Saccharomyces cerevisiae S288C: one gene and its partner. The gene in region 2 interacts genetically with the main gene of each other region. Each region holds a gene or a part of one and is shown on either strand. Other genes may lie near its edges.

Region 1 (5,125 bases), on a different chromosome or scaffold from region 2:
ATAGGATCAAAAAAAGCCATTTGTCGGGATATATGCCATTCATTTGCCTCATGAACTCCTCATATTGATTATCTAAACCTAGTTTTTCTAGGCTGGCCAAATAATTGAAATTTAATTCAAAAGGCAGTTCTGAACTAGGTAGATACTTCCCACTATTTTCATCTTGTGGCAAATACTTTTCATATACTGATTTGATGGTAATATTGTCTCTAGTTAATGCAAGAGTTGCCAGCGATTCATTTCGTTTTTGCTGAGGAGCCACTTTTAAGTATCTTTCTAAAATATGTGACGACCAAATATCACCTCTACTTCCGTTTTCACTAATTTCCTCGCTAATAAAACCTCCCTTCGTGAAACCCTTCACTAAAAGTACATTTATCAATTCAGCTTCATCAGTACTTTCTTCTTCATCTTCTTGAGTTGAATCCAGTTGCGTTAATGGTAAAACTTTTTCTTCCACAAATTTTATGACAGGATCCCAAACTTTCCGATGCATTTCTCTCTCCATTTTCATTAAAGATGAAGCTAAGGCATGCCTTATCATTGCCAAGTCATATTGTTCAATTGCCAATTCTAAATAAGACAAACATATCCTGTCACAATCTCGTACACAGCTTTTCAGGCACCTTTGAAAAAGCCAGAAAATACGTGAAGTTTCGACTACTTCCTTTGTTGATTCCCAGCGTATATAATCTTCCCATATACTTGTATCTGTTACAAATTGTGAACAAAATCTTTCATATAGCCACCTAATCTGTTTGTCAGTTCTTCCCTCCTCTTTCCAATACTCGATATATCTTTTCCATGTAAGTATGTTCTGCGGTGTCTTTTGTATTTCGTACTCAAAAGCCACATCTTCATCATTTCTTATGTTCTCATCGACGTTTGTTATTACTCCTTTCATTGCGATGTATGCTGACATAGGATATATGGACACAATAAGTTTTGCGGTACTGAAGGATAGTTGAGTCCAATATGGAGGCCTGATTATTTCCTTTTTTTCTATCTATTTCCTTTTGTATTATTTTGACTGAAAAGCTTGCCAGCGTCTTTACTAAAATCTTTCATATGTTCGGACCGCTATAGTAAACTGAAACTTGATATTCAATAATTATCAATCTTCGAAGCTAAAGAAATACAAAATCTTTATTCGAAAAAGTAAGTAACATAATCAACCGCTGATTAGCACAATATGAGGATACAGTCGCTTTTTGTTTTATTTAATGTTGCCATCATCGCATGGTCATATCCATATGAGCCTTTAAGGGTTTTACAAGTAGGAGAGAATGAGGTAATGGAGGTTCCCGAATCAGAAAAGCTAAACTTACGAAGAAGAGGTGTCAAATTCTTTGATGTGACCAAACACACTTCTTTCTTACCTTTCTTTAACAAGGAGGAAGAGCCAACAGTACCAACGTATAACTATCCTCCTGAGATATCGAACAAAGAAGTAGTGGATGATTCGATTAAGAATATAGACAAGGGCTCTATGCACAAGAACTTGGCAAAGTTTACAAGTTTTTACACCCGTTACTACAAGTCCGATCACGGCTTTGAATCTGCCGAGTGGTTAGCTGCAACTATCGCTAATATTACAAAAGATATTCCGCAAGATACGTTGACTATTGAACATTTTGATCACAAAGAATGGAAGCAATATTCAATTATAGTCCGTGTCACGGGATCTACTACGCCAGAAGATATTATAATAATTGGTTCTCATCAAGATTCTATCAATCTGCTACTGCCATCCATAATGGCAGCTCCAGGTGCGGACGACAATGGGTCAGGCACGGTGACTAATATGGAGGCTCTCAGATTATATACGGAAAATTTTTTGAAGAGAGGATTTAGACCTAACAACACTGTGGAATTTCACTTTTATTCCGCCGAAGAGGGGGGATTGTTGGGTTCTCTTGATGTTTTTACAGCTTATGCCAAACAGAAAAAGCATGTGAGAGCGATGCTTCAGCAAGACATGACGGGATATGTTTCTGATCCAGAAGATGAACATGTGGGGATTGTCACCGACTACACTACTCCCGCATTAACTGATTTTATAAAACTAATTATCAACTCTTATCTATCCATTCCTTACAGGGATACACAATGTGGCTATGCTTGTAGCGATCATGGGAGTGCCACCAGAAACGGATTTCCAGGCTCCTTCGTGATTGAAAGTGAGTTCAAAAAGACTAACAAGTATATTCACAGCACCATGGATACTTTGGACAGATTAAGTCTCGCTCATATGGCGGAACACACAAAAATTGTATTAGGGGTAATCATTGAACTCGGGTCATGGTCCGCTTGGTAAAAGTCAGTAATATGCATACATAACTAATGATGCCTTACCTTGGTGTTCTTTTGTAATATACCTAAACCGATATCACGCTAGTATTTATTTCCCGAATTTTTTTGGCGTATTTCGTCATCTGAAAATAACATAATCAATGAAAGAAATAGAGTCAGTTGCAAAAAGTGCAAGCCAGCGCTAACCGCTCCCGATTTAGTCGCAATATTGATGGCAAACAGTACCAAAAACTGGTTACCCATATAAATTGTTTGGCATTGTTATTATTGTTATAAATTATTATTGTTATTATTATAAATTATTATTAGTATTATACAAAGTTTTCAATTCTGCAACAAGTTGGGCCGCAAAATATGGAGAAAAGCGAAAGTAATTCTGAAGGACTTTATCTCCAAAATATATTAAATGTTCCCCCTCCGCAGCGATTTATTGTGCTCATAATACTTGCCCTTTGGATCTGGACATGGATATTAAAATTCTTCTTGCATAGTAATTTAGACGTATCCCAAGTCATACTCACGAGAGTACCGCACGATATACGTCCAGGTTATACTCTACAGCAATTGCATAGAACAGCTAGAAATTTTGCTTTGAAGATAACAAGGATTATTATACCGTTCCACTTTGCCACTGTGTTCCTTTTTGAGTTCATGAATATTATAGAAGGTCCACTCAAAAATATCATTCTCATCGTATATTTTCTACCATTGATCCAATGTGTCACTATATTTTGGTTTCTGTTGAAAGAGTGCCAGATAATAAAATATTGTACTAGGAGATGTTTGTTGATAGAATCCTCCCCCCGTTCCTTAAGGAATACCTACATTTTAATCTCTGACACGTTGACATCGTTTGCAAAACCATTGATAGACTTCACATTGTTTACCTCTCTAATTTTTAGAGAACCCTTCACACATTTTGATCTATCCGTAGCCCTTCTTCCTGTACTGGTAAGACTACTGCAGTGTTTGAGAGAATACCGTTTACTGCACGAAGCAACTTTACTATTCAATGCATTGAAATACAGTTGTAATCTTCCCATTCTTTTTTGCACCTGGAGATCAAGAGTGTATGAGGGATCCATCAACGAAGAAAGACTACACCACGTTCAAAGATGGTTTATGCTAATTAATTCTTCCTATACGTTATTTTGGGATGTAAGGATGGATTGGTCATTGGACTCGTTAACCTCTTTAAGATCCAGATCCAAAAGTGCCGTCACATTAAAGAAAAAAATGTATCATTCGGCGATTCTCGTTGACTTTTTGCTGAGGTTCTGGTGGCTATGGGTATATTTATCGCAGAATCTGAAATTAGTTGCCGCAGATAGCGACTACATTTTTTTCCAAGGCGAAATGCAGTATTTCGAAGTAATTAGAAGAGGCATATGGGTCGTTTTCAAATTGGACGCAGAGTATTATATTAAGTTTGCAAGCAAATAATTTGTTGGGCAAGCCATATAAAATCATGCAAATGCTGTAAATATTTGTTCTATTTTCCCCGTAGAATGGTTTATTCGATATATTACATATAATAAACGAAAAATACATATGCACAGTATATACTTTTCCAAAAAAAAATCAAACACTGTTTGAGCGTCAAGAAACCCCAGGCGGTGCCCGACGATAATGCGACTGCATTATCTCCTACGCTTGTTGTCGTTTGCCTTTCTTTGGTTTATTCTTCGTTCATTTTTGGTCAAATATCTGAACTTTTTTACTCTTGGCTTCTTCTTTTGTTTCTCATCCACGCCCAGAAACTTCGCGTATTTGGTGGCTCTATTTATGCTTTGTTTGAGTACTTTTTCTGCCTTTTCTAATTTGACATTATTTAGCTGGGCTAAATATTCAAAGTTATCATTGGGTTCCAATGTCTCCAATTCAACAGTAGTTGAGTCATCGTATATTTCCGTGATTGCTCCTTTCTTCAAAATAGGCTTTACGCTACTTTCATTATTGTCGTTATCGCCGTCATCTTTATCAGAATCAAACCCGTGCCAGGATTCATCAGATTCTACCTGCAAATCCTCCGTCTTATCATTTTTCGCATCCTCTATCTCAGCTTCCAAGTTTAAACTCTCTTTAAACGTCTTTAACTGTTCTTCCATCACCTCCTTACGTTCCTGCCGAATCTTCTGTCTTTCTTCAATTTTTCTAAGCCTTTCCTGCTCCTTAATAAACTCTTGTGCTTTCTTTTGTCTTTGAAGCTTTCTCTTGTGAAAGCCAGTCAGATAATCCAAACGAGAATCCTTGTCGAACGTCACCTCATCGGTACCGAATTTCTTTGATTGCTTTGTAGCATAGTTTTTGCCTCTTGTAAGGATTTGCCTATTGGTGTGAACAGCCATAGCAAAAATCGAAAACCTTTAATTCACCCCTCTTGATTCGAGCAGCTACCAGGAACTTGAATATTGCAACTCTCTATTTTTTATCTGCTATTATCTGCTGCTTTGCAGAATCGATCCTCATCACATTTGAAAAATTTCAAATGTGAAAAGTCCCTACTTACCCGTTCGCGGCTCATGAAATCGTGTCCTCTTCAATATAAGACAAGAGTATCAAACAAAGGATATAAGGCAAAATACAACAAATTACCAGTGAATTCCGCATTTCCAAGTCAAATCAAAAACTATTTTCGAGGAAATAATGGCAGGCCCAAGGAATGTGCGTACATTACATGGAAATGGAGGCCGTAATAATGATGTGATGGGCCCAAAAGAATTCTGGTTAAATATCCCCCCAATAACAAGAACTTTATTTACTCTAGCGATCGTTATGACGATCGTCGGCCGGTTGAATCTAATCAATCCGT
Region 2 (4,956 bases):
TCCAGTTTCCAATTATGAAACCCCCATGCTGATGCCGCATAACATGTTTTCATCACCATCTTATCAGAGTAACTCAAGGTCTGAATTTTCTAGTATGAATGGTTATTATAACTATTACAACTATAATCAGCCAAGATTGAATTACTATCAACAATTCCCCAATATATATTCTTCACCAATTTCGGAAACTCAGTTTGATTACGACTTCTACAATTTCAGTAGTCAACAACAACAGCAACAACAAAAACAACACTCACTTTTACCTGCCGCTCCACAATTACCTCCCCCTCACGTCCATAATCAGTCTTACGGTCATCATCTTGGCTGGAAGTCAATGGATGACACAATAAATCATTCAAGATTTGAGCGAAACTACTTTCCGTATTCGGCAGTGTATTAGTGAAAACTTTTTTTTCCTTATTTTTTCTTTGATCCCATCGAATTACTTTCTCTTTTGCCCAGGATCATCTTTCTAATCTATCATTTTATTATTTTCTCTCATGAGAAAACAGAATTTCGAAACAGATATAATAAAAAAATTGAAAAATTTGAAAAAAAAAAATCTAGAAACATATTTTCCTAAAATGAAAATCGGAAGCTAACAAAATTTTTGAAAAACGAAATAAAGAAGAAAGATTATTATTATTACTTTTTTTATTAGTACTCCATATGGACCTCTTAGGTGAGTGATCTTATTAAAAAAAATAAAAAAAATAAAAAAATATGAAAAAAAAAGAAAATTAAAAACTAAACAAATTTTATGACAGGAATAAAAACTATAAAAAATGAAAACCAAAAAAAAAAAGCACTGGATTTTTAACATCTTGTCCTTTTCTTTCCCTTTATCATTTTTTCTCATTTACTTTGTTATTAATTTTTTTTTTCAAGTTCTCCACATATACATATGTAAGAATTGAGTCTATCTCTTTCTAATATTTAAGAAATACATAAAAAAACCAATTTTTTTTTTTTATTACTAGCAAATTTATTTTTGTGAAGTGAAATTCATACATTGGCTTATTAAAGGTATTAAATATTACTGAAATTTTATGAACCAAAAAGAATAATGGATGATTGTAAGGTTACATGCAATATATCAAGATATTACTAGAGATTATTTACCGCCAGCTTCTCTAAACCACCTGATGCTTCTATCTAAACAAACACAGCATAAACTTTCATTTAAATCAGCTCCCATACCAGATCTCCAACCTTTTTTCAAAAACTTCACGTCAAAGACACCAGGTTCAGCTAAAGAATCTCCATGTTCATCAACAGCTAAGATATCCTCTTCAATTTCAATATCATCACAATGCATATTCAATGTAGTGATTCTTTCCTTTGTTTTTACATCCCAAAATCTCAATTTACCATCCCATCCGGCACTGCATAATGTTTCACCAGAATCATTAAACGATAGACTCATGACCCAGCTAGAATGTGCAAATTCACCCAGACTTGCCTGCGAGCTATGGGTTGGTACGGATAAGGAGCCTATTCTTTCACCAAATTCAGTTTCATATAGAGTGATGCAACCAAATGAATTTGAATCGTGAGCAATGGCTAATAAGGATCCTTGAGGAGAAAATTTCACCGATCTGATGGAATTCGAATTATTAATCATAGAATGCTGAGATTCAAAATTGTACAACGGGCGTAATGTAGATAGTTCTGAAATTTGTACTGTTCCATTATTAAAACCTGTGGCAATTAGTCCTCGTTCAGAGATATCCACAGAAGTGGCAAATTGACTTGGAGTCATAGGCGATTCGACAGTGCCTTGTAATTCTAACGTGGGGCTCCAATTTAGTGTTAAAGAATTTGACTCATCTGCAAACGGGTGAAACTTCCAAATGTAAGTGGTCCCTTTGACGTCTGTAGCAACCAGCCTATGGGAAAGTAGTCTGTCATTTGAGGCACCCCATTTTAATGCCCAAAAGGAATGCTTTTTCATGTCTGAGTCTAGAAGATCCAATTTCTCGAATATAACTTTTTTAGTCTCATCTTCTCTAGTGATACGATAGAAGAGTAAATCGCCAGAAAATGAAGTGGTAGCAACAAGGCATAATTCAAATGCATCTCTCTCAATAGCTTGCAAGACATCGACATGGTGCAATCCGGACTTATGGACAAAGTGAGAATATGACTTATCTTTTGGATTTTCATTATCTAACAGCTTATTATCCCACACCTTTAAGTAACCGTCACCTGAACAACTTACCGTAAATGAATTGCAAGCAGAAACCGAGAAAATATCAGCGTCATGAGCTTTACCTGCATTTGCTGTGGCAATAAACACTTTGGACATTTTTCCAATACTTGATTAACCTCTTTTTCGTTTCTTGTCTTTATTTTAGATTTGTTTTAATATCGCCTAATTTTTCCTTCTTTACTTTATATTTTTTTTATTTTTCGCCTAAAGATTTGTATCAATTAATTAGCCAACAAAAACAAAAACAATAAAGTCATATAAGGGTTGATAATTGATATTGATGGCAGCTAATTCTGTAGGGAAAATGAGTGAAAAGTTAAGAATCAAGGTGGACGATGTTAAAATCAACCCCAAGTATGTTTTATACGGTGTTAGTACACCAAACAAGCGCCTTTACAAAAGGTATTCCGAGTTTTGGAAACTGAAGACACGATTGGAGAGAGATGTAGGAAGCACCATCCCATATGACTTCCCTGAAAAGCCCGGTGTATTGGACAGGAGGTGGCAAAGAAGATATGATGATCCGGAAATGATCGATGAAAGACGGATCGGACTAGAGAGGTTCCTCAATGAATTGTATAACGATCGTTTTGATTCTCGATGGAGAGACACAAAAATAGCGCAAGACTTCCTGCAGTTGTCAAAGCCAAATGTTTCTCAAGAAAAGTCACAGCAGCATCTAGAAACTGCTGACGAAGTGGGATGGGATGAGATGATAAGAGATATTAAATTGGATTTAGATAAGGAGAGTGATGGCACACCCAGCGTGCGTGGAGCACTAAGGGCACGTACGAAGCTCCACAAGTTACGAGAGCGACTAGAACAGGATGTGCAAAAGAAGTCTCTTCCAAGCACGGAAGTGACTCGTCGCGCCGCTCTATTGAGGTCCTTGCTCAAGGAATGCGATGACATTGGTACAGCAAACATAGCTCAGGACCGTGGACGACTTCTGGGGGTTGCCACCAGTGACAACTCTTCAACCACGGAAGTTCAAGGAAGAACGAATAACGATTTGCAACAGGGGCAGATGCAAATGGTGCGCGATCAAGAACAAGAGTTGGTTGCACTGCACCGAATTATCCAGGCACAACGTGGATTGGCCTTAGAGATGAACGAGGAGCTGCAAACACAGAATGAGCTACTTACAGCACTTGAAGATGACGTCGATAACACTGGTAGGAGGTTACAGATAGCCAACAAGAAGGCTAGACATTTTAACAACAGTGCTTGAATTAATGAGTTACTATCCGGGTTACAAATCCTGAGAGTATATTTGTACTAAAAAAAAAAATTGTAAATCTAGTAATTGAAAAATTTTGGCGATGAGACGATATGGTAAGAGTAAAGCAAAGGAACCGTCATGTCGTTTACTGCTCCTTCAGATCCCGTCAATAAACCGACAAAAGTGAAGGTATCACAGTTGTGTGAACTATGTCATTCAAGAAAGGCTCTCATTAGAAGACCCAAAAACCTGTCTAAACTTTGCAAACAATGCTTCTGCCTCGTGTTCGAGACGGAGATCCATAACACTATTGTAGCAAATAACTTGTTTCAGAGGGGAGAAAAAGTAGCCGTGGGGGCCTCTGGTGGTAAAGACTCCACGGTGTTAGCGCATATGCTGAAGCTTCTGAATGACCGTTACGATTACGGCATTGAGATTGTACTGTTGAGTATTGACGAAGGAATCATCGGATACAGAGATGATTCCTTGGCCACGGTGAAAAGGAATCAGCAGCAGTATGGCCTTCCTTTGGAGATTTTTTCCTTTAAGGACCTCTATGATTGGACAATGGATGAGATTGTATCCGTTGCTGGTATAAGGAACAGTTGCACGTATTGTGGTGTTTTTAGAAGACAATCATTGGACCGTGGTGCTGCAAAGCTGGGCATATCTCACGTTGTCACCGGCCACAATGCAGACGATATGGCAGAGACAGTACTAATGAATATCCTACGTGGTGACGTAGCAAGATTGGAAAAATCGACTGCGATTATCACACAAAGTAGCGGCTCTCCCATCAAGAGATCAAAACCATTTAAATATTCTTACCAAAAGGAAATTGTCCTGTATGCGCACTACATGAAGCTGGATTATTTTTCCACTGAGTGTACCTATGCCCCAGAAGCGTTTAGGGGCACTGCGAGAGAATACATGAAGAATCTGGAAGCAGTGAGGCCCAGTTGCATTATAGACATCATCCAAAGTGGCGAAAATTTGGCATTAAAGGCTAAAAAATCTAACGCTGGAAAGAGAGTCGTCAAATTTGTTGACGGCAATAGATGCGCTAGATGTGGATATCTGTCGTCAAATAACATTTGCAAGGCGTGCATGTTGCTGGAAGGACTGGAGAAAAGTAGAGCCCAAGTGGCAATCGAGAATGACACTTCTGCCGATGGTGCAGCCTTGAAGCTGAGAGCTCTTGAGAAACTCAGCTTTTGACATATATATAGCTCGCAGTAGAAGAATGCAGCGTAACATAATATAATATAATATAGTACGGCGCGCCCTCCATTAGAACGCGCAACACAATAAAGACAAATAAAAGAATCAGCTATAAAGCTGGCCATTGCATGGTTCGCGCTGGAAAGAGAGGAAAAGCGTGGTGATAAAGAGCGAACCAAGCATATTGTTTTCCAAGAATGAGCAACGAAGATTACGGATACGACTACGATTATTTATTTAAGATAGTTCTTATCGGCGACTCCGGTGTGGGTAAATCTAATCTGTTGTCGAGATTTACAAC

The links.
Region 1: mutations in VAM7 (region 2) and ERD1 together harm fitness more than expected from each alone (negative genetic interaction), as found in Saccharomyces cerevisiae (4 studies listed by BioGRID).

What each region holds. Positions count from the first base shown.
Region 1 is NC_001136.10:1,294,229-1,299,353, reverse strand, and holds ERD1 (Erd1p), read left to right. Parts: upstream 1-2,667; coding exon 2,668-3,756; downstream 3,757-5,125. Other genes in the region: mRNA splicing protein SYF1, read right to left, coding at 1-922; YDR415C (putative aminopeptidase), read left to right, coding at 1,193-2,317; rRNA-processing protein RRP17, read right to left, coding at 3,954-4,661; DFM1 (Dfm1p), read left to right, coding at 4,960-5,125. UniProt on the Saccharomyces cerevisiae protein: Required for the retention of luminal endoplasmic reticulum proteins, affects glycoprotein processing in the Golgi apparatus.
Region 2 is NC_001139.9:88,940-93,895, forward strand, and holds VAM7 (Vam7p), read left to right. Parts: upstream 1-2,492; coding exon 2,493-3,443; downstream 3,444-4,956. Other genes in the region: CLG1 (Clg1p), read left to right, coding at 1-400; SKI complex subunit WD repeat protein SKI8, read right to left, coding at 1,115-2,308; NCS6 (Ncs6p), read left to right, coding at 3,573-4,652; Rab family GTPase YPT32, read left to right, coding at 4,853-4,956. UniProt on the Saccharomyces cerevisiae protein: Essential for proper morphogenesis of the vacuole. May exist as structural reinforcement on the surface of the vacuolar membrane and be required for maintenance against rupture by osmotic pressure.